Drosophila melanogaster: one gene and its partners. The protein of the gene in region 2 interacts with the protein of the main gene of each other region in a pairwise test. Each region holds a gene or a part of one and is shown on either strand. Other genes may lie near its edges.

Evidence for each region.
Region 1: the proteins of CG6418 (region 2) and U2af50 interact in a two-hybrid assay, tested with the Drosophila melanogaster proteins (one large-scale study listed by BioGRID).
Region 3: the proteins of CG6418 (region 2) and CG3225 interact in a two-hybrid assay, tested with the Drosophila melanogaster proteins (one large-scale study listed by BioGRID).

Annotation. Positions count from the first base shown.
Region 1 is NC_004354.4:16,354,688-16,361,318, forward strand, and holds U2af50 (U2 small nuclear riboprotein auxiliary factor 50), read right to left. Parts: upstream 3,767-6,631; coding exon 3,721-3,766; intron 3,520-3,720; coding exon 2,956-3,519; intron 2,886-2,955; coding exon 2,797-2,885; intron 2,731-2,796; coding exon 2,608-2,730; intron 2,531-2,607; coding exon 2,069-2,530; 3' UTR 2,009-2,068; downstream 1-2,008. Other genes in the region: sl (small wing), read left to right, coding at 1-99; PIG-Q (phosphatidylinositol glycan anchor biosynthesis class Q), read left to right, coding at 4,653-5,299, 5,363-5,471, 5,536-5,671, 5,733-5,877, 5,933-6,009, 6,076-6,191, 6,245-6,359, 6,427-6,527. UniProt on the Drosophila melanogaster protein: Necessary for the splicing of pre-mRNA. Binds to the polypyrimidine tract of introns early during spliceosome assembly.
Region 2 is NT_037436.4:10,874,984-10,882,658, forward strand, and holds CG6418 (uncharacterized protein), read right to left. Parts: upstream 4,055-7,675; 5' UTR 3,963-4,054; coding exon 1,587-3,962; 3' UTR 1,332-1,586; downstream 1-1,331. Other genes in the region: Blos4 (biogenesis of lysosome-related organelles complex 1, subunit 4), read left to right, coding at 4,187-4,330, 4,385-4,750; CG6409 (uncharacterized protein), read right to left, coding at 5,809-6,879, 7,024-7,035.
Region 3 is NT_033779.5:4,813,605-4,820,929, reverse strand, and holds CG3225 (uncharacterized protein), read left to right. Parts: upstream 1-2,684; 5' UTR 2,685-2,763; coding exon 2,764-2,892; intron 2,893-2,956; coding exon 2,957-3,048; exon of another isoform or gene 3,049-3,114; coding exon 3,115-3,208; intron 3,209-3,266; coding exon 3,267-4,988; 3' UTR 4,989-5,014; intron 5,015-5,038; exon of another isoform or gene 5,039-5,072; 3' UTR 5,073-5,147; coding exon of another isoform or gene 5,148-5,250; 3' UTR 5,251-5,306; downstream 5,307-7,325. Other genes in the region: CG15629 (uncharacterized protein), read right to left, coding at 5,148-5,250, 5,307-5,907, 6,043-6,160.

The DNA.
Region 1 (6,631 bases), on a different chromosome or scaffold from region 2:
GGCTATCGCAGCGTCATCCTACGAAATAAGTTCAGCGAGGAGCTGGAATTATCGTCCCTGCTGATCAACATTAAGATAGCAAATGTTACCGCACCGTAAGAGGATTGCTGAGTTAGCTGGATCAATATCAATGATTCCAAATCGAGTGTTTGCGAAAACAATTGCGCTAGATCAAAAGGAAAGCGAACTTAATTCGCAAAAGCAATTTATCAACAACTTGTACATAAGAACATTTCATCGAACTATGAACCTGATTCTCTCACTTGTAATTTGTCTAAAAAGCTTAGGATCTGAAACGTATGATTTAGATTTAGATTACTTTCTATACACATCAGCAGTTATGGTTAGTTCATACTATACAATGAGTATTCAAATGGTAACAATGAATTCTGAACTCCTGGAACTGAAATCAAGTTTATGTAATCCGTATAATTTGTACACTTTTCCATAACACTAAGCATTCAAGTCTGTTGTCCTCTAAATGTTGTATTTGTGCGTGAGATTGATTCAGGAGAATAGAATGATACGAATATGTTTTAACTATTCGTCACCTCATTATAAGCATAAGCAAACCAGATTTGATTTGATTTCGATTTAGGGAACTTGAGCTATTTCCATTTTACCAGTTTTACCATCAAAAGTTAAGTACATTAAGTTGATTCCAAAATTAGAAATAGAAACAATTCATAAACAGCTCAATTGGCATCAATTTAATGGGCATTTGATATTCAGTTTCAGGATCAGCTTTTCATAAGTATTATATTACAATCTTCTTAAAGACTTTTAACTGAAGAAAATAGACCACTTTCATATGTTATCTGGAAAACTATTTTAGACCTTTCTCTTAGCACAAATACTCAAACAGCATTTCAATCATTTAGCATTTACCTTTTTTATTTTCTCTTTTAAAGCTTAAAGTAATAATACAATTTATAAAAAAAAAAGGGCAAAGGAAATTTAAACCACTTTGATTACATATGTCTTCCAGTTGTTTAACAATTACGATATACCACATAATTGTGTCTATGTTATTTAACCACGATTGTTGTAGCTAATGTTACAAAAACTAAAAGTTTGCAAACAATATTAAAATAAAATGTAATTATTCAATTACATTTAAATGAACGTGCCTTAAAATTCGAAATGATCGAAATTTTAAATGTTTGAACGTTAACTATTGAAGTACACCTGTTGCTAAAATAACAAATATTTGAAAAATAATAATATAGCTCAAAGATATCTATTTTTTATAAAATCAAAGTTCTAACTTAGCTTCTTCTCTAAACTGCGAAATCTAAATATCTAAAGCCTAAGTTCAATAGACGTATTATTACTAAATGCATTATATAATTTATATATCTAGATATTCATAAAATGCACTAGTCGATTTAAGAAGTGGAAATTGTGCTCCCTATGCGAATCATTTAGGATTTTAATCTGAAACTATTTGCATTCCATACGAATGCCCCACTGAAACGATCGATATCATTTGTCTTGCACTCGCATTTAATTATTTAACAAACATTCTGCTGTTTCCATTCGCACAATAGTTCTAATTTGGACATTTTGCGCGTTTGAGCGCATTAGCAAATCATGCTTAGTATATATGTATGTGTATATGTACCCAAAATGTATTTCATTTGTACGTTCCGTTTTTAAGTGATTTGTATCTGTACGTCTAATAGATATTTTCAACTGTTTTTGTAATTGCCTTATAATTCAGTAAACACACACCATACGTATACATTCATAATTATTTAATGCCAAATAAATGTTTATCCGGCGTTAGCTGTCTATATATATACAAAGTTGTTTCTATATGTTGGATTTCTGAGAATTGAGGAAGCCACCGAATGAAGTAGTTATGTTATATACCCTTAAACTCACGTACAGTTTCAACCCATTAGAAGCATTTGGAGTTTTCGTTTCCAACTTCCGGCTCACAATGAAATAAGCGACTATCCCTTTCTATTTCATGGTATCTTCGTATTTTCGTAGTCAAAATTTTACTTTTATTCTGATATTTATTGGACAAATGGTGAATGTGAGATATATGATTTACTTGTATCTAAAACTCGCGTCTGTGGTATTTGTCGGGATCGAAATATGATGTGACCACAACGCGGTCGCTGAATTTACGTCCAGTAAGTGCTTGCTGCGCCTTCTGACAGTCGAGAACCGAGTTGAATTCGACAAAGACCTTGCCGCAACCGGGAACTTCGACGCCCTCGATGGGACGTGGAATTTCCACGCTCCGCACGACTCCGTATTTCGTGCACTCCTCCTTGATGTCCTCCAAGATGTCCTCGTACTCCTCCTCGTCCCGCAGTTCATCGGGCGTGACCATGTTGAGCAAGCAAAGAACCTCAGTCGGCGGTCCAGAGGTCACCACATTGGACAGGCCCGGCACTTGGAGCATTACGGACTGCGTGGTGTTGGCCGCGTTCTGGGCATTCTTGGCGCCCACACTGGCTCGTTGGACAATCAGTTTTTTGTCACCCAGCTGCATTCCATTTAGGCCAGCAATCGACTACAAATTTTATTAGGAATCGAAAGAGAGTTAGAGTTAAGATTGTGTTTGTTTGCAATTTTGAAGTAGTTTCGTACCTGATCTGTGATGCTAAGATCGACATATTCACAGAAAGCATAACCCTTACTCAACCCAGTAGCGGCATCCTTAACCAGGTTGAAGGCTCGTAGCTTGCCAAACGACAAAAGCAGTTCCTTAACCTACAGCAGCAGAAGATACAAATGTTTATGAGAATTCGAATGGAAACGTTTCAATGTTGAACCAACCTGATCGTCATTCAGATAGTTTGGTAGACCTCCGATGAAGATTTTGTGAGGCGAGTCCGGAACCACTGTCGAAATAACTCCACTGGAAACTGGAATGTGGAATGGTGGTTATTTGATTAGACCGTGTGCCAATGAAAATTAGGATATTTGTTTACTTACCAACAGCGGGCTTAATTGCCGGCGTATCTGTTATACCCGGCATGGGCTGGTAATCGTGCGGACGCCTAATCTTTAAGCTCTGCCCCTTCAAATTGATGCCATCGAATGCCATGGCCTGGGTGGTTTCATCAATCGATCGGAATTCGAGGAAAGCAAAGTTTTTGTCCAAGTTAATTTGGCATGCCAAGACGGGACTGCCGGCCGCCTGGGCGAGCCCAACTAAATGCATCTGTTGGTTGAAGAACTCCATCATTTCCTCCTCGGTGACGCCAAACGGAATGTTGCCAACGTACAGGCGACGCGCCTGTCGGGTAATTGTCGATCCGACCACGGGCACTGCCGTTTGTGGTGTATCCGGCACAACGCTTGCCGGGATTTGTCCGGACGCCTGCATGGCTTTGTATTGCATCGGGGTGATGTGCTCGAATCCCGGCGGCGGTACATCCCAATAAAGCGACGGCTTGCGCCTCGAGTTCCGGTGATGGCGTCGATCCCTGGAGCGTTCGCGATGGCGGTCCCGAGAGCGGGAACGATGTCGGCGTCTCTCGCGATCGCGTTCACGGTCTGCAAATACGATAGGAATTAAATATGTTGATTCTCCAATCGCTATTTTCGCAAATGTGTCCCGTCCCTGTCCACCTCACCCAGGAAGAGCACACAAATTTAGCCATACACACGGGCACACGCGCATATGTAAGCCATGAACAAGGACACATTTCGGTGTATGGTGTATGGTTAGAAGCATTTATGGTCATAAGAACTCGCCTTTATTGTCGATATTCACATATTTATCTTCAAAATTCATTTCCATCCCGAAATGCACTGTATTCTATTAAAAATAGACTCAAAACTCAACGTATGTACGTATGTATGAATGTATGAATGAGCGAAACATCGAAATAGAAAAAAAAACAACCGGTCTAGAATGAATGCGATTATTAACAAAACCCTAATTCAACAGACCTTTTTTACATATAAAAAAAAATGAAACAAGGAGCAGGCTGCGTTGCCGCGATAAACAAATTCAGTTGCACATTTTTCACTTTCTTTGCATACATTTATAGTTGTATGTATGTATGCATACATATATATACATAAACATCTATTTATGCACACTTGGGCATCAAATTCAGTGCGGCCCTTTACTTGCTCTCTTCATTGAACTCACCATCATATCCCATTCTTGTTGCTAAATAAAATTAATATTTCTTAACACGAAAACAATTTTAACTCTTTAAAATGCCGAAGAAAAATGTGTCCCTCTATTGCGTATATTAACGCAAATATAAAAGAAACGACTTAAAAAAGAACACGTGAAAACTGAGAAACAATGGAATGGACCACCGATAGCCGAGGGCTAACAGTGCGACACTGGCAGTTTCGAAGTGTCGTTGAACGATTTATCGACATAAATTTCACTTGTAGGGTGTCCATTACTGCAAAATATTTATATAAATTATTATACATAATCATACATAATAATATAATAATAATAATATACATACATACATAAAAATACACGCTTAAGCGACATCTGACATATACGATTCTGCAACTATTCTGTACTCCCTAGTTTGTTAATCAACAAACGGTGACGTCACACTCAATTGTATACCACCTTCTCAAGCATGCTGTATTTGTTTTGTTTTGATTGAGAGAAGAAATACCGGTGTTTTTGTCAGTTAATCGATTATATTATGAGCATTAAGATATATTTACCGGTCAACTATTATTACCTCAATAAGTCAACCAATTTGTACGGCCAAGTGCAAATAAATGAAGATAATGTCGTATCGTATTACGTGCTGGAAGCATCAGATTTGGAGTTCAGTGACAAGGCCATAAATCATGAAAAGGGCAATCTGCGTTTCCTGGGCTCTATTCTCAACGAGGATTTCAATGCGGACCAGAACCAATTTCTTAAGTTCAATATGCGATTGTGTTTCACATACAATAGCAGTCAGGCGAATATAACACTGGTTTATTTGGGCATTACGCCCGAATATCTGAAGCACATTAAAGTGATTCTCTACGACAAGCAAATGGTACGAAATCTGTTCGTATCTGGTGAATCTGAAAATAGGCGATCTTTGGAATACAATGATAATGATAGCACCGATTGCGACTTTCTGGAGCTCTCTAGACTGAATCAACCAACTGCTGACAACCAAAACAAGGCAAACAATAATGCCAACAAGAGTATCCAATATGGCTTAACACTCATTGCCGATTCTCCAATTAAGATATTCGAATATATGGCGGAAAATGTATTTATCAACAGCATTATGGTTCACACAACTATTTATAAGCATTTCAAGGAATGGCAGACAGCATGTGATAAAAGGTAGTTGGGTTAAATCGATGATGCTAAATATCATATTACTATTACTTAGTTTCTATCAAGCAGATCTCGACCGGCTAATATAGTTCTTGATAGAATACTGGGGATTATATTGATGCTAATACTATTTACGCTTGCCACACAGCCTGGTGATTTTCTAATACAAATATCTCATGTATGTCCGCCATACAAATTTGATTTTACATATGTGACATTAACTTATTGCTTATCTATTGTAGTACGTTATTGACGAATTGTACGGCCTGTTGAAAGTATTAGAGGGCAGTCCCATTGGCCTCAAGCTAAATATACATTTAAATAATTTCTTTCTCGACTGCTTCAAATATCATATTGAGCTGTGGTCAACATTTTTGGGTAAGCTTTTGGGTCTACTTAAATGCATGATAAGATTGATAACATTGTTCTCTTACTACAGATTTCATTGAACCTTTAGTACGACAAGTTTTCTTGGCCATTGGAATGATTGGATGCTTGGGTTTTACATTCCAGATAGCCTTACTAGTGGACTTAATATCCGTTATTGGCTTACATTCACATTGCTTCTATATTTATACCAAAGTGTAAGTTTCTGCAATATATATTGACCGCTTTCAAACAATAATATTATTTTCATAGCCTCTACAATGTGGAAAGAAGAGGTCTTTCTGTTCTATGGCAAGTGGTTCGAGGCAATCGTTACAACATTTTAAAAGGTATGTTTTAAGGTTTTTGCCAATCTAAGCACTATGTTAAGTTTTACCAATTCTTATACTTTTCAGGTCGCACTGAGTCCCACAACTATATGAATCGGCAATTATATCTAGCTACCATATTTTTCTCGGCTATTCTGTTTTTGTTACCCACTACCCTTGTCTACTATATAGTTTTTGCTGCTGTAAGTTTAATATATAATCGTTGAATTTCGCAATAATACAACTTTCTTTATAGCTGAAGGCGCTCACATTTGCTACTCTAAGTGTCTTTCATTTTTTGCGAAGAAAACTGATGTATCTCCCGATTGAAGTCTGTATAAAACGGTTATTAAGAGGATGTCATGAAATAGGTAATTGTGTAAAGAATGTGGATGCACAAAATGATATTTATATAATGATTTTTCTATTGACTCGCAGATTGTATTCAAATCAAAGATGTTTCACATCACGAAAGGGCTTTCCTGATGCACAAACAACAGAAAATCAACGTGACAGTGTATAAAATTACAACTTTATAATCCTTGCCATATATGTAGAATATATTTAGAAGTAAACATAACATGTTTTAAAAGTACATTTACATTTTATTTATTGAAACTTCATTTGTTCATTTGATGTTTTT
Region 2 (7,675 bases):
GTTTATTTGAAAATTACATTTTTTGTTTTGCCTTATCCCAGACTTTTGTTGCAAAATGTTTCTTGTTCATTTACAAAGTATTAAAAAAAAAAAAAACAATCTATTAAATCAGCGCAACAACAAAACATGAGCAAAGAAAAACAAAACAAAAACGAAAATCGAGAAACACAAAATACATACAAGTGAAATCCCAACAATTTTATTACATTTATAAAATGAAAACATTTACATTTTAATTGTTGCATAATTTTAATTATTTTTTAAAGCCTATCTACATATTAAAAGTAAATGATTTAGCTTGGTAAACGATAAACGAAATTTAACAGACCAGCTGAGGAAATATTAAGATAATATTAACTATAACGAACAGAAAGTAAATGTGTACAATTAAGTGACAAAGCGAAACTGCATAATTAGTGGAAGAGAGAAACAAACTATTAAAAGTGTAAATCAAATTTAATGCTAGATCTAAAATATATTGTATATATTGGATATGTATGTTATATATGCGGCAACAACAAAAAACAGAACCCCTCCCCCCAAAAAAAAACACACAAAAGCTAATTAATACATTTAAATAATGATAATAATAAATGAAGAAAACAAAAAGTATTTCAAAACTAAAATTAAAGTGTTATAATTTTCGTTTGCGTCTTATTTTCCCACACAATTTTCCCCCGTTTTCTTTTTGGATTTTCTCCTGATTTTCCGATTTGTTTCGTACGATGTGGTTAACATGGACCAATTTTTATATACAAATATATATATATATACATATATATATGTATAACACCCACACACCGACGAGTCTTTGAATAGAGTATATACGCGAACTATATATAACGGAATATATATATATATTCATGTACGTATCTGATATGATATTCAAATATAGCGAAATTTTTAAGCTTTGCCCCGGCTTATTCCCCGTTCAGCGCTTAACAAAACGAAACAAATCGAAAAAAAAATCGAATAAATCGAAAAAGTCGAAAATTTACGCGAAATCGCCTCGATGTGGTAGTTAAATGAATCTCAAATCTCTTCTCAATGTTATCAAAAACACACGTAATTTAATTATAATATAAACACGTATATCCAAAAGCGAAAAAGAAACAAAATTCGTAGTGGTTTCATTGTAAAACAATATTTCATAATGATTAAACGAACAATTTAGCTTCAAGATTTCGATATTCCAGTTCGATTTCTTCTCTCGCTTAATGAAATGGAAAAATTAAAATTAAAATGACACGATTAACGATTAACAATATCGATAGGCAGTTGGGATGCGCAAATGTGATTTTATTCAAAATAAAATACACATAACCATGATTACAATTAATGAATATTTTTATTTGGATCTGTGGGATCGTTCGCTGGAACTGGCTGCGAAGGAAGAGAGTTGTACATACGAGTATTTAACTAACGTAATCTTTATGAATGAACATGGTATATATCTGATTATATATAATATGTTTAAATTTAGTTCATAAGTTGTAATTTTAAACGATGGAACAAAAGCAAATACACATTAAATAATATGAAGAGAAATAAACCAAATAGCAGCATCAGTTTATTGGGCTCGTCGTTCAATTCCAGCGACTCTTCTTGGCTCTTTTGGCATCCTGGTTGCTGCTGTTGTTGGCCGATGAGGCGGAAGCACCCTGTGTTGATGATGAGGGCGGTGCCATTGGCGCAGCGAAAACTCCCGACTCCGGCAGAGTTTTCTCCCAAGTGCGATCGCTGGACGCACGGAACTGATTGTTATACTGGGATCGGAATGCCTCCCTCATTGCTGTATAGCGATCTGTGGCTGGTCCCGAGCTCGAAAAGGCTTTGCTAGAGGGTCCGTCGGAAGGACTGTGGGCAGACACACTCGCAGTGGACTCCGAGCCACCAGCCGAACCATAGCCACCACCTCCATTTCCTTTCTCCCGATAGCCCAATCCTGTGTGGGTATTTGTTGGTCTCTTGCCTTTGCCCTGCTTGAAGCGTGAGCTGCGGAACCAGGAACTCTTCATGGCCAGCTCCATCAGATCGTCGGGCACCAGCTGATCGGCTCCCTCCAAGTTACGCACCAGATGTCCGGCGAACTCCTTGTCCTTATCGGTGACTAGAGTGTATGCATTACCCTTTTCACCGGCTCTGCCCGTTCTTCCAATTCTGTGCGTGTGGGTTTCAATGTCCCTGGCTGTGTCGTAGTTTACCACATTCCTAATATGGGGTATATCCAATCCTCTGGCTGCCACGTCGGTGGCCACTAGAATATCGCACTCTTTTCTCTTAAACTGAGTGATGACCTTGTTTCTGTCCGCTTGGTCCATATCGCCGTGGAGTAAAAGACAATTGTACTCCTTAATTAAAAGATTGTTAGACACCGTTTCAGCATCTACTTTTTTAGTCACAAAGATCAGGACACTTCCTTCGGAAAGGAACTTCACCAGATGGCACAGCAGCCAATTCCATTTCTGCAGGGGATTGGGGAAGACGTACACAGACTGTGTAATGTCCTGATTGGCCTCGTTCAGGTCTCCCTGCACTATTCTCACGGGATCGGAAAGCACATCTCTGGCCAGACGTTCAATTCGCTTCTTAAAGGTGGCCGAAAACATTAGGCATTGACGATCTGGACGCACGTGGTTGCAGATGGAGCGAACCTGGGGCTCAAAGCCCATGTGGAACATACGGTCGGCCTCGTCAAGCACTAGGAAAGTGACCCTCCTCAGATTGGTGGCCTTCATCTTGACCATATCTATCATACGTCCTGGCGTGGCCACAATAATTTCCGCTCCCTGTTCCAGAGCTTTACTTTGCTCCCATTTGGAGCCTCCGCCGTAGCAGCAGACCACGTTCAGGTTGTAGACCTTGCCAAACTTCTTGGCCTCGTTGTAGATCTGCAGGGAAAGCTCGCGTGTAGGTGCTAGGATAAGTCCTATGGGTCCGTCGCCTGGCTTCAGCTGTTTCTGATCCATCACATGCATTAGCATCGGCCAGATGAAAGCTGCTGTCTTACCGGAACCAGTTTTGGCTATGCCAATGATGTCTCTGCCGGACAGGGCGGTGGGCACTGCTTGTGCCTGGATGGGTGTGGGCTGTGTATACTCCGCTTTCCTCACGGCCTTGATGAGTTGCTCATCAAAGCCGAAATGGCCGAAGGACGTGACTGGTTTGGGTGGTGATGGACCAGTGACCTTTACGCCAAGTGTGCGCCTTAATTCCCGGACTTGCTCATCATCCAGGGCGGCTATGTCGTCATGCTGCGTGTAGAAGTTCTTCTCGAAGGGTTCGTACTCGATTTCGGAATGGTAGATGGGCGGCAGAGGATCAATGTCCTTTTTCTTCGGTGGGGCTATGGGATTGCCATCCTCATCGTATTCGATTTCCTGATCGGATCCCTCGTCGCGAAGTCCAGCATTGGGATTCTCCTTCATGTAGCGATAGTAGCTCTCCTCATCGTCCTCGTCATCGATGTCACCTCTCACCGCCTGAGTTGGCGGCTTAGGTGCTTGTTGACGCTTCTCCTTCTCCACCTGCTGGTTGATGCCCGCCATGAACTGCTCGAGGGGATCCTCATCCGAATCGGAATCCTCTTGCTTTTTGGCCGACGTTGGCGGAGCTCCCGGGGATCCTGGTGCCGGTATATAGGCTTGTTCTATCTCCTTTTCCCGGGGCTCATCGTCATCATCGAAATAGTCATCGTCCGTGTGGTGCTTCCTTTTGCCAACCAGATTGGTGGCATTGGTGTACTGGCTGATGGAGTCCAAGGTGGAGTAGCCGTGCTTGGACGTTGATGTAGTGCTCCCGGTGACACCGCCACGGCTTGCTCCTCCAAATCCTCCGCGGGAACCAGAATAGCCACGGGCATTCAGCATCGGGGGCGGCGGTACGGCGTTCATGTTGTTGCCGGAACTTGCTGGCTTGCGGTAGGGGAAGCCCCCACCGCCAATGCCTCGATATCCACTCATTGTGCTACAAATCCAAGCAAATGCTGCAAGCTAACAATTTCCAAAATCAATAGAAAACAGTATGACCAGAATGAGCAGCAGCGGGACAGCGGGCAAATGCTTTGGGGTCACACTTTAGCTGATAGGAGTTTTACCCTCCTCAATTATGGTCACACTGGTCGAAAGTGAAAACAATTGTTGCTTGTATTTACAAATATTCAGCTAATTAAACCAACGCCTGAAATATGCAATCGAATATTGAGAATGTATCACGGGACTATGCAAAGATACTGCAGAGCGCCGACCTGGAGAAGGAGATAAATCCACTGTGCACGAATATCGAGGATATGCTGGCCAGATTGGATGAATTTGAGACTTTGTTGGCTTCGGTTAGTTGTTTTCTTTAAAGTTAGTGTTTTCACTAATAGTTTATTGACTTTTAGGTGCGTGCGGAATCCAATGGCATGATGGCCAACAACGTCTGCTCTATACTAGGTTTCACAGACAGTTTCGAGCAACTGAAGGCCAGAATCGATGGTCTGGAGCAATGTGTGGGTGTAGTTAGTGCCAATTTGTCGGAAGTGGAAAGATCTGTGGATATAGCCGAGGAGGAGCTGCATGTCACAGACTACAGCCTCAAGGGACTTCTCCTGAAGCCGCTGAAGGCCAAGTTAAGTGCCAGCGATACCAGCACACTCAGCTCCCTGCCACGATCCAATCTCGTCGAGGAGGAATATCAGCCTGTGGAGATCTACAAATCCGACGATTACTTCGGAAAGTCGGAGGAGGAGAACTACGTAGCTAAATGACTAAACATATATGGAATAATTAGATGAAACCTAGTTTTACTAAGCTTAAAATAGAGATGTTACTAGAAGTTAGAGGATCTTTGCAGATGTAAAAACATAAAGGTAATTTTATTAACTTTCTAAAAGCAACTTCATTTGCATTTTGTTTTTAAATTAGGCATTTCTAATGCATTTTGAATATGCAATAACTATCAAATTAAGACAAAGACATCTAAATTCAGCTTCGTAATTACATTTAAGCACCTACTTGTTATAATTGTCATTATAATTATAGCGAAAAATTACAGATAGAATGGAAAAAACCGAGGCAAACAATACGTTGTTTATTGTTACATTAAGTCTGGCTGTTTATATTTATATTACTGATTACTTACATTAGAGTAGTGAATAAAATAGCAGTTAGCTACGTGGATGCCATAAATATTTAGTGAATAATTAGCGAAGAGGTGCTTACGTAAATATTCAATGTTTTTTTTTACGGGAAGCGCGAAGTTAAATTGCTCGAATTTATACGGGGAAATCCGTGGAGTCTCGCATTTAAATTGCTGCCTATAACGTGGAAAAATTCTAAAAAAAACTGCAATACAGCTTTACTATAATAACAATTCTCTGTGTACGCCTTTGTCTAGAACACAAATTAAATTTGTTACCAGGAAGCTACTTTAACGCATAAAATTTAGTGCGCTTGAAGGCGTTTAAAATCGGTACAAGGTTCTTAAATTTATTATTACCAACGTGTGTAGAAGTATTATTAACAAATATGAAGTACATTTAAAGCTTCATATATTTCCCTTGAAGTAATATTAAATTATATTACAATTGAATTAATTCTTGGAAGTTTTACCCATAATTAATGCCTGAAATGCAGTAGATACCACTTTTTACTTTGCCTATTATATTAACTGCCTTTTTACAGACAGCCATCCACATAAATATTTATTAAATAATTAACGCCCAGTCTTTTTATATAAGCATGTAAATATTTGTGTTTATTTTAGTTCGTTTCGCTGACTACAAATCTCGTGATGGTCCCATTAGCGACTCTTAACATAGGAAGCCTAGGCCTTAGCTTTCTCCTTGCTTTCCTCGGAACTGGAAGTGGACTTATCCGCGTGCTTGTTCTTCTCGAAGAGCTCGGCCACGGGAATGGGATGGGGGATGTGGAGATTGTGGATGGACGGAGTGGTGCTTTCCAGCTCCGATTTGGTGGTGGATGGGAGATCGGTGGTGGTGGTGGCTTTGGTTTGCGTGGGCACGGGAATATCGCGCTGGTGACGCTGTTCCGGCGCCTTTCCACCGGCCAGAGATTCGATGGCCTTGTGGAGCTCCTGGGATCGCTGGGGATTGTGCTGGAGCGACTCACGGGCCTTCACGCTGTCGGGTTTCTCCACAGTCTCGCGCTTTTCCTGCTTCTTGGGCAGCTCGGCGGTGTGGGCCACAGCGGGCAGGGCATGGGGCAGCGAAAGATCCTCCACCTGAGGACGATCACCTGCCTCATCCTTGTGGCCCTCCTCGTGGTGAGCTTCCCTCTTTTCCTTCTTGTCCTCATGTGTTTCGGGAGCCTGCTTCACTTCCTCCTTATGTGGAGCTGCATCATCACCATGGTGGCCTTCCTCGTGGTGAGCCTCTCGCTTTTCCCTTTTGGCATCATGAGCTTCGGGGGCCTGCTTCACTTCCTCCTTATGAGGAGCCTCATGGTCTTGGTGACCCTCCTCATGGTGAGCCTCTCTCTTTTCCTTCTTGGCGTCATGGTCCTCGGGAGCTTGCTTCACTTCCTCCTTCTGGGGCACTGCATCGTCACCATGGTGACCCTCCTCGTGGTGAGCTTCCCTCTTGCGCTTGTGGTCCTGTGGCCCAGCCGGAGAAGGCTTCTGGTCATGAATAGGAACGGCCGGCTGCGAGTGATGCAGCTGTTCGTGGGCCTCCACGCTGTCGGGCTTCTTGGGTTCATTACGCCTCTGGCGATTCAGGACGGGAGCATCCTTCAGCAAGACTACCTTGGCGGTGGGCTTGGGATCAACGAGCACATCGGGGCTGATGGGACTGGGCCTAGAGAGCTCCTCAGAGGTAGACTCCTTGACATCCAGAGGTGCTGCGTGGCAGAAAGCCACCAGGGCTAAGAGAATAATCTAAGAAAATGTGCAACACAAATAGATTAAAACGTATTTTATATTCAAAAGATAAAATTTATAGCCCTCATTAATTAACCGATTACAATAGCTTGTATGGAAAACTCAGGGATAATCTTCAAGAGAACTGAGATCTTGACTTACAACCGACTTCATGCTGACCGCTTGGAGATGTGACCCAAACTGCTGATCTCAGCCAAGTGGCGACCCATTTTATAAACCCAAATGGGCGACCGCAGGCTTCTCCACTCCGTTGGCAGCGGCTGTTAACCAGTTTGTAATTCGGTGCTAATTGCGAATAGATGCACGCCAAGTGCGCGGAAACCCGTTCACAATGTAAATCTGCTTTTCTACGTTGATATTGATAAGTCTGGCTAATTATAACCCGAGGAAATCGGCGTCAAGTGCGCCGGCTTCTCGGCAACGCTGCTTCTCGTAAAAGCGGCAAAATGGAATAAAAATATGGAAAATAAAAGCGGGTTTGGCCGGCGAAATGGGCTCAAGGCTTAGTCAGCAGCGCAGCCAAGTACGGACTCATCCACATCCACATCTGCTGGCCATTTAGCACTGGCTCGCAAAAAAGTTAAGCTCGGCTAACTTAAGTTAAGTATTCCCGCAGCTAATTTGAAGAGCACATAAATATGGATCGCGAGGCGTCTGTAATTACGCCCTTTACGTAAGATGACAGGTAAACATATCAATTGTGCGATGTTTTCCTGGAAGTGTACGTTGTGATTTGATTGATCTAGTAATTGCCCTGATTTTCTTGAATTTGTATTCAAATAATTCCAACCTT
Region 3 (7,325 bases), on a different chromosome or scaffold from region 2:
TTTACCTCCCACTGTCGCGCTGCAGTTGTGTTGGTGCTCTCCCGTGCTGGTGTTGCCATCCCCATCGAAAAGGCTCTCTTCCTGCCACTCTCTCACTCCAACTCCTCGGTGAGACGGATGAGGAGTTCGGCTTTTGTTTTGCACGTTGCCATTGCCCAGCGGTAACTGTACACCGTGCCGGATTGGGATATGCGTTTTCAAAACACATTAGCGGCAACAAAGGCAGAAGTGGGAAAAAAAAACTGTAAAAAACAGTGGAAAATGGCCACGGCGTCAGCGCAATACGTATACGCCACGTAGCGCCGCCAGTTTTTGGAGCACGTGTCACCAAAGCCGGTCGCTCTCTTTCCACCTTTCACTCTCTCTCTGTCTCTCTCCCTCCAGCTCTCAGGACACAGGCGGCCTGTTGTTTTTGTTTACGCCGCTCAGCTGTGAGGACCTCAAAATCCTTGTTGCCGAAAAAATCCATTTTAATCGCCGCCGTTTGGAGTGATATGCCATCCGAAATCCGGCCAACTTGACCGGAAAGCCATACGGGCGGCCCAAGGTCGCGTGTGCAATTGACATTTTTATTGACATTAAGTGGTGCAGGGACTAGTTTCGGTTTCAGTAGTTCCAGTAATTAAAGCGGATGAAGACGCGCCAAAAAACAACGCCCGGAGTGCTAGGACTCCAAAATGCACTGTGCGAAATTGAAAGCTGATATGGGATATCCTAACTACGATGAAAAATTGGGATGCAAAGGTAAGCAGAAGATAACCTTACTTTTCCATATTAATTTCCAATTAAGCGTCACCATTTTTTTTCGTGTGCACTTTGTGTGTGCTGCATTTGAGTTGCGACTTTGCCGCCCTGCCACATGCATCATGAATCACGCAAATTCGCGGCACGCAAAGACAATGACGCCAGCCCCTTTTCGCACCACTCGCTGGGTGTCGAGGACGCACAACTCCGGCGTTTGTAATCAGGGTCGTCAACGCGAAACTATAGTTATAATACGTAGATAGAACAAAAGGAACGTACCCTCCACTGGCATTTCCAAGGAAACTTTGCTCGTAAAAGCCGGAATAACAGTTAGCATTCATGCCGCCCTTTAAGTTTTGTGGCATTTAGTCAGGTGCCCAAAGACGGGGGAATCGGAATTTGGATACCGGCAGTGGAGTGCCGACAGCCGTTTGACAGTAAAACTCTGGCCTTGGGCGCATCTATTAAAATTTATATGCAACCGAAACTGGAACTGGACGCCAAACGGACAAGATACACACTGTGCGAAAATGTGACAGCCTCCCATAACCCGCAATGTAACTAAATATTCACTTAACTACTATTAAGTGGGATAGAAGGCAAATGAAATGACTAATCCATATGCACAGCGGAAATTATTATATTTTAGTATTTGCAATTTAAGATGTAGTACTAAATACTGAAGCATCGTTCTTAACACTTTTCGAAACTATAATCTTTCTCATGTAGCGAAGATACCTCTTTACCTGTGATGCTGATATCAGCTTGAGTGGAAAGTGAAAACATTTTTTCTCAGTGCCTTTTAGTTGAAGCACTTTCCGCGGACGGCGGTGTTGACAAACTGCTCGCAGAGTTTTTGGCTTTCGCTTGGCTTTGGCGACTTGGCGCCTCGTCCTTGGCATGAAGTTCGCCGCTGGCCTTTAATTAGCTTTTCTCGGATTACTCATACGCCATGGGGGCTGGGCTCGGGTCGAGTGGAGTGGAGTGGAGCTGGGCTCCATTGTTTCAGCACTGGCATGCGGATGTGGTTGGTCAAACGTGCATGTCGGGCACGTGTTTTGCTTTGGCTTGAAATTGGTGGTTGGGTTCGGATCGCATCGGATGGGGTTAAAGTTAAAGCGAGCGTTCTTAATGTCAGGGTCAATGCAGAATACGGGGGTCCTGCATGTGTGGAATCGACGGCCATCTTACTCGTCCCAATATTGGCGGCATGCATATAATACCCACTGACGGTGCATAAATCAAAATATATACAAAAAAAAAAATACAAGCGGGCAAAACAATGTGTGTGTTTTGTTGCTCGAGAGATACAATACAATATTTATTCAAAAGCAATTGGCCGGGCGCTTCTGTCGCCGACAGCTGCACAAAACTCGGGGGACACTTTTGACACACACACGTGGCCAGGGCGACCTTATAGTACATAATGAGTTTGCTGGGTATGCAGAGGAGCAAAGTGGCCTTGCCACTGGCAATTAGAGTTATTTTCACTAGCAATAGGGGACATGTCGGTGCTGCAACGTGCCCGCAAAATGGACAAAAACATGTGCATGAATAATACAGGTGAATGTTATGGACATTTGCCACCATTGGGGCTCGTGAAATGGTCGACTAAATCAAATATATTATAATTTGTGGGTACCAAAGGTATAAGCTTGAGGTACTAGCCAAACAATTTCTAAAAACTAATATTTTGCATTTTTAAATCTTAACTAAAATATAGTGAAATTTGATTATCCTCTTTTCTTATAGACCTCAACTAGGCGACTGTATACTTAGTGATTAAGTAAATACTTAGGTTTTTGGGCAATTCAACTTATTATATAGTTGATGGTTATCGTTAATCGAAATTTCAATACAATGCAATTTCCCGCCAAATAAAAGTGTGACCATTAGTTTATATTAAACGAAATTCCTAACATTCTTTTGCGCGCTTTGGTATTTTGCACCAATGCATTGAGTCCATCAGCTGTTTATTTAATTTCAAAACTGAATCTATAACGAAGTAAATAATTGAAAATGAGCACTTTTAAGCCAAAGTTCCTAAAACCCGAGACGGACGATGCAATCACAGATAGTGCCGGTGGTGAACAGCAGTCCTCCGCCTTTGTATTCAATGTCAATCACAATATGGGACTCATGGAGCAGGTGGGCTTACAAAATATTTCGTAAACATTTGCTAGAATAACAAATTAAACTTAAATTATTACAGAGGGAACGTTTGCCCATTCGTCAGTACCGGGATCAAATACTTTACTGCTTGGAAAAGCATCAAGTGGTCATACTAGTGGGTGAAACAGGCAGGTTTGTATGGAATTCCATGAGCTTCAAAGTAATGCTTCTAACTCTGTGGTTTTTCATATTTCCCAGTGGCAAGAGCACCCAGGTGCCACAGTATTTGTATGAATGGGGCTGGCACACCAAGGGACTCATTGGCATCACCGAACCACGACGCGTTTCCACCGTAAGTAATCCTAAAGCAAAGCAACTATAAAATCTAAAACTAAAGACTTCATTTCCAGGTTACGCTGGCTAATCGCGTGGCACAGGAACGCGGCGAACTGGTAGGTGACACGGTGGGCTATGTAGTTCGCTTCCTGGAAAGCATGAGCTCCTGTACCAAAATCAAGTTCATGACCGAGGGCATCTTGCTGAGGGAAGTCCTAGCCGATCCGCTGCTCACCCAATATGGTGTTATCATCGTGGACGAGGCGCACGAGCGGAATATGCTCACCGACATGATTTTGGGACTGCTCAAGAAGATCCTTCGCAAACGCAGCTCGCTCAAGCTCATCATTTCATCGGCCACCATAGATGCAAGCTTCTTCAGCGAGTTCTTCAGCTGGCCAGGATCGGGCGAAGTGAGCGTTAAGCTAAGCATTGAAGGTCGCATGCATCCTGTGAGTAATTTCTATCTGAACGAACCCTGCGCCGATTATGTGAAGGAAACTGTGGAGACCGTCTGGAAACTGCATCAAAAGGAGCCGCCTGGCGACATTTTGGCCTTCCTAACTGGCCAGGAGGAAGTCCTGGAGGCGCTGGATCTTCTGCGCGAATACATCGCCAGTTCGGAACAGGAGAATCTCAAGGTGCTGCCCATGTATGGTAGTATGTCGAGCACTGATCAGTTGTCGGTATTCTTTACCCCGCCCAAAGGAACCCGCAAAGTGGTGCTGGCCACGAATATAGCAGAGACCTCCATCACCATTCCGGGCATTGTTTATGTGATAGACTGCGGCTACGTCAAGGTAAAATGGTACAATCCCAAAACCTGCAGTGACAGTTTGGTTATAGTGCCCGTCAGCAAGGCGTCGGCCATCCAGAGAGCAGGACGAGCGGGTCGTATGCGTCCCGGCAAGGTCTATCGTTTGTACACTAAATCAGACTATGAAGCACTAGCTCCTCGGCAGCCACCCGAAATGCGACGCAGCGAATTGAGCGGCGCTATCTTGCAGTTAAAGGCGCTGGGCATCGGGAACATATTGCGCTTTGATTTCCCATCGCCACCACCGGCACAGAATCTACTTTCCGCACTGGAGAGTCTATTTGCCTTGGACGCCATCGATGAGCAGGGCAATCTGACGAAGCCCGTGGGTTACCTGTTGGCCGAACTCCCCTTCAGCGCTATGCTCTCCAAAATGCTCTATGTTTCCGGTCAGATGGGCTGCTCCGAGGAGATCATAACCATCATTGCGTTGCTGCAGGTGCAGTCTATATTTTCGCGCCCAGCTTCAGCGGTTGCCCAACAAAGTGGACGCATTGCACATCGAAAATTCGAAGTTGCGGAAGGGGACTTTATTACGATGTTGAACGCTTACACTGGCTTCGTGGAGGAGGGCATGACCAAGGAGTTCTGTGGCCAATACTTCCTCATCTACAGGAATCTTAAGAGGGCCCACTCGCTGAGGGAGCAACTCATCACAGTGGCCAGAAAGAAGTACGGCATTCCAATCTTCTCGTGCAAGGGCGATGTGGAAAAGTTGTGCAAGTGCATCACCGCCGGCTTCTTCACACAGGTGGCCTATCTGCATCACTCTGGAGTTTATAGACAAATCAGCAGCGGCACTGAACTGGCCATTCATCCGAACTCCACTCTCTACACACTTCCTCAAGCTCAGTACGTGGTCTATGGGGAACTGCTCCAAACGACGAAATTGTTCATGAACTACGTGACCGTAATCAAGAGAGAGTGGCTGACGGAGCTGGCGCCGCATTATTACCAACAGACCACAGTGCGGGATTAGCAGGAACTAAAGCCTTAATGATAGGTGTAAGTCTATTAAAATAGTTCATTAAATCAAATAACTAAGTTTATTGTAAAATTATAGGTGAAACGATGCCGCCTCTTGAAAAAGAACTTAAGCTTAGGTAATGGATTCCATATGATGATTCCTATTGTGTGTTTAACCAGCGGCGACGCGCCCTCGTCCCTGAAACATCATCATAGACTCGGGTCCACGGATGACACGCGACATCAGCTCCCAGCACATTTTGGCGGGCAAAAGACTGAGAAAACCAGCATTAATTACATTGTATATAACTATGTTAAATAGACTACTTACCATTTGAGAGGAGTGAGCAGGCGAATAGAGTTGGGCAGCACGCACCACACCTCGTTGCAGCGCACGGCGTTCTCGATGCGATCCGCCACATACTGCGGCTCCAGCATGGGCATCATCCGCGGCCGAACACCCGAAAACATGCCCGTGTTGATGTAGTACGGGCAGATCAAACTCATTTGGATTTGATCATAGCCATGGGCCTTCAGATCGGTGAGCAAACTCTCGTGGAAACCGATGCAGGCGTATTTGGTGGCCGCGTAGTCACTGCATCCGTAGGTGCCCAGCATTCCAGTTACCGAGCCCACAGTAACGATATGACCACGATTATTGCGCATCATGTGAGGCAGAAACGCTTTCACGGTCCAGTAGTGCGATATGATGTTAATGTTGTACGTGTTCTGGATGACCCGATCGTGCAGCTCCCAGAAGGGTTTGCAGCACACGATACCGGCATTGTTAATCAATATGTCGACGGGACCAACCTCCTCGGTCACCTGGCTGGCACGCTGGTAGATCTGCTCCCGATCTGAGATGTCCACAACGTAGCCCTTGCAGTTGTCATAACCATGTTTGGCCAACAAATCCACAGTTGTCTTTATGGCTGTGCGGAAAATTATGATCAAATATTGTTTAGCTAATCAAATTGTAAATGTAACAGCTTTCACTAGCCGTCGGGTTTTTTGACCCGCCTGGCAGAAGCTGTGACGGCGTCATTAGCAACTAGGTGTGATTTTACCTTCTTGATTTATATCCCAGATGACAATGCGGGCCTGAAGGCGAGCAAAGTTTAGGGCAATCAAACGTCCAACACCACCGCCTCCTCCTGTGATGAGCACCACCTGGCCGGAGATGTCCTGTTATGGATAATAATGAACAAGCAATCGTTTATTATAATATTGAATTTCGCATACATACATATGTAAGCAAACCTATTTAGCATACGAAAAAGGTGCGACAGACTGGTAATAGTGCATGTGGAATGACTTTTGCATAATTTAAGCTTAAGTTTGTTACTTTGGCCAACGAATGTCTTGCCACATATGCTTGAATCATAATATAAAACAGATGTTGCAAGACTGTCACCAGCTTTTACAACAAAGTTCAATCAATTTGAGCTGGGTTCAATCCCCTACAGCAGGGCATATCGGTTTCCATCGCTGAAATGCAGCAAAGGAAGCTATTTTCTGCTGTCTGCTAGTCAGATCTCAACTTTTTCTTTTGAATTGCTGGTAATTTATATGTACTTCTCTATGCAATTTATTTTTGTTTTTTTTTTTGGTGTGCGTAGAGCGTGCATTTTGCAACAACAGCAGTGACTAGGGAAAAGGCAATGTTTTGAATGAGGAAAAACTTGTTGTCATACTAAGTTGGTTACTGCTCATGGGACTCATCGGACTGTCAAGTCACGGATATTTTTGGCCACAATCCGAAGATGCGTTTAACTTGGACAAACATAAATAGCCAAAATGTAAATGGCTCAAATTCAATGTCAGCCATGGACTTTGGGTAATTGAAGACAAAGCTCCATTAAGGCAAATATTTAAACAAAATAGTTTAACTTTGCAGAAGCCAATAAATATTTAAAGTAGAAGAGGGTTCATTCATGAATAGCTAGCAAAGCGTGTGAACAAAATTGTTTGCCATCCAAGCGTATCAAAACAAAGAAAGGGGTTTGTTCAAACGCTTTTTACGACAATTTTATAAGGCTTGCAAGCGGAGTAAGTAAATTGGAAAGTTTTCAGACTTCGTACAAAATATTTGAATTAAAATATAAGTTTTTCAAGCTGAGAGTATTGTATATTCGGCTGCTTCGAAAATAGCAAATAGCGATTTGTTTTCATTACCGCCAAACTGCGCGTGGCTCATTAAGATTTGTGAAATGGCCAAAACTGACGGTTTGCAAAATAAAGCAAAAAAAAAAACAAAAGACTTGGCTTTAAGGTAGCTCTACCTATGATTGATTTCGAGTGGCGCACTGGAAGCTGCTTTAAAAAATTATAGGTATATTTTTTGTGGGTG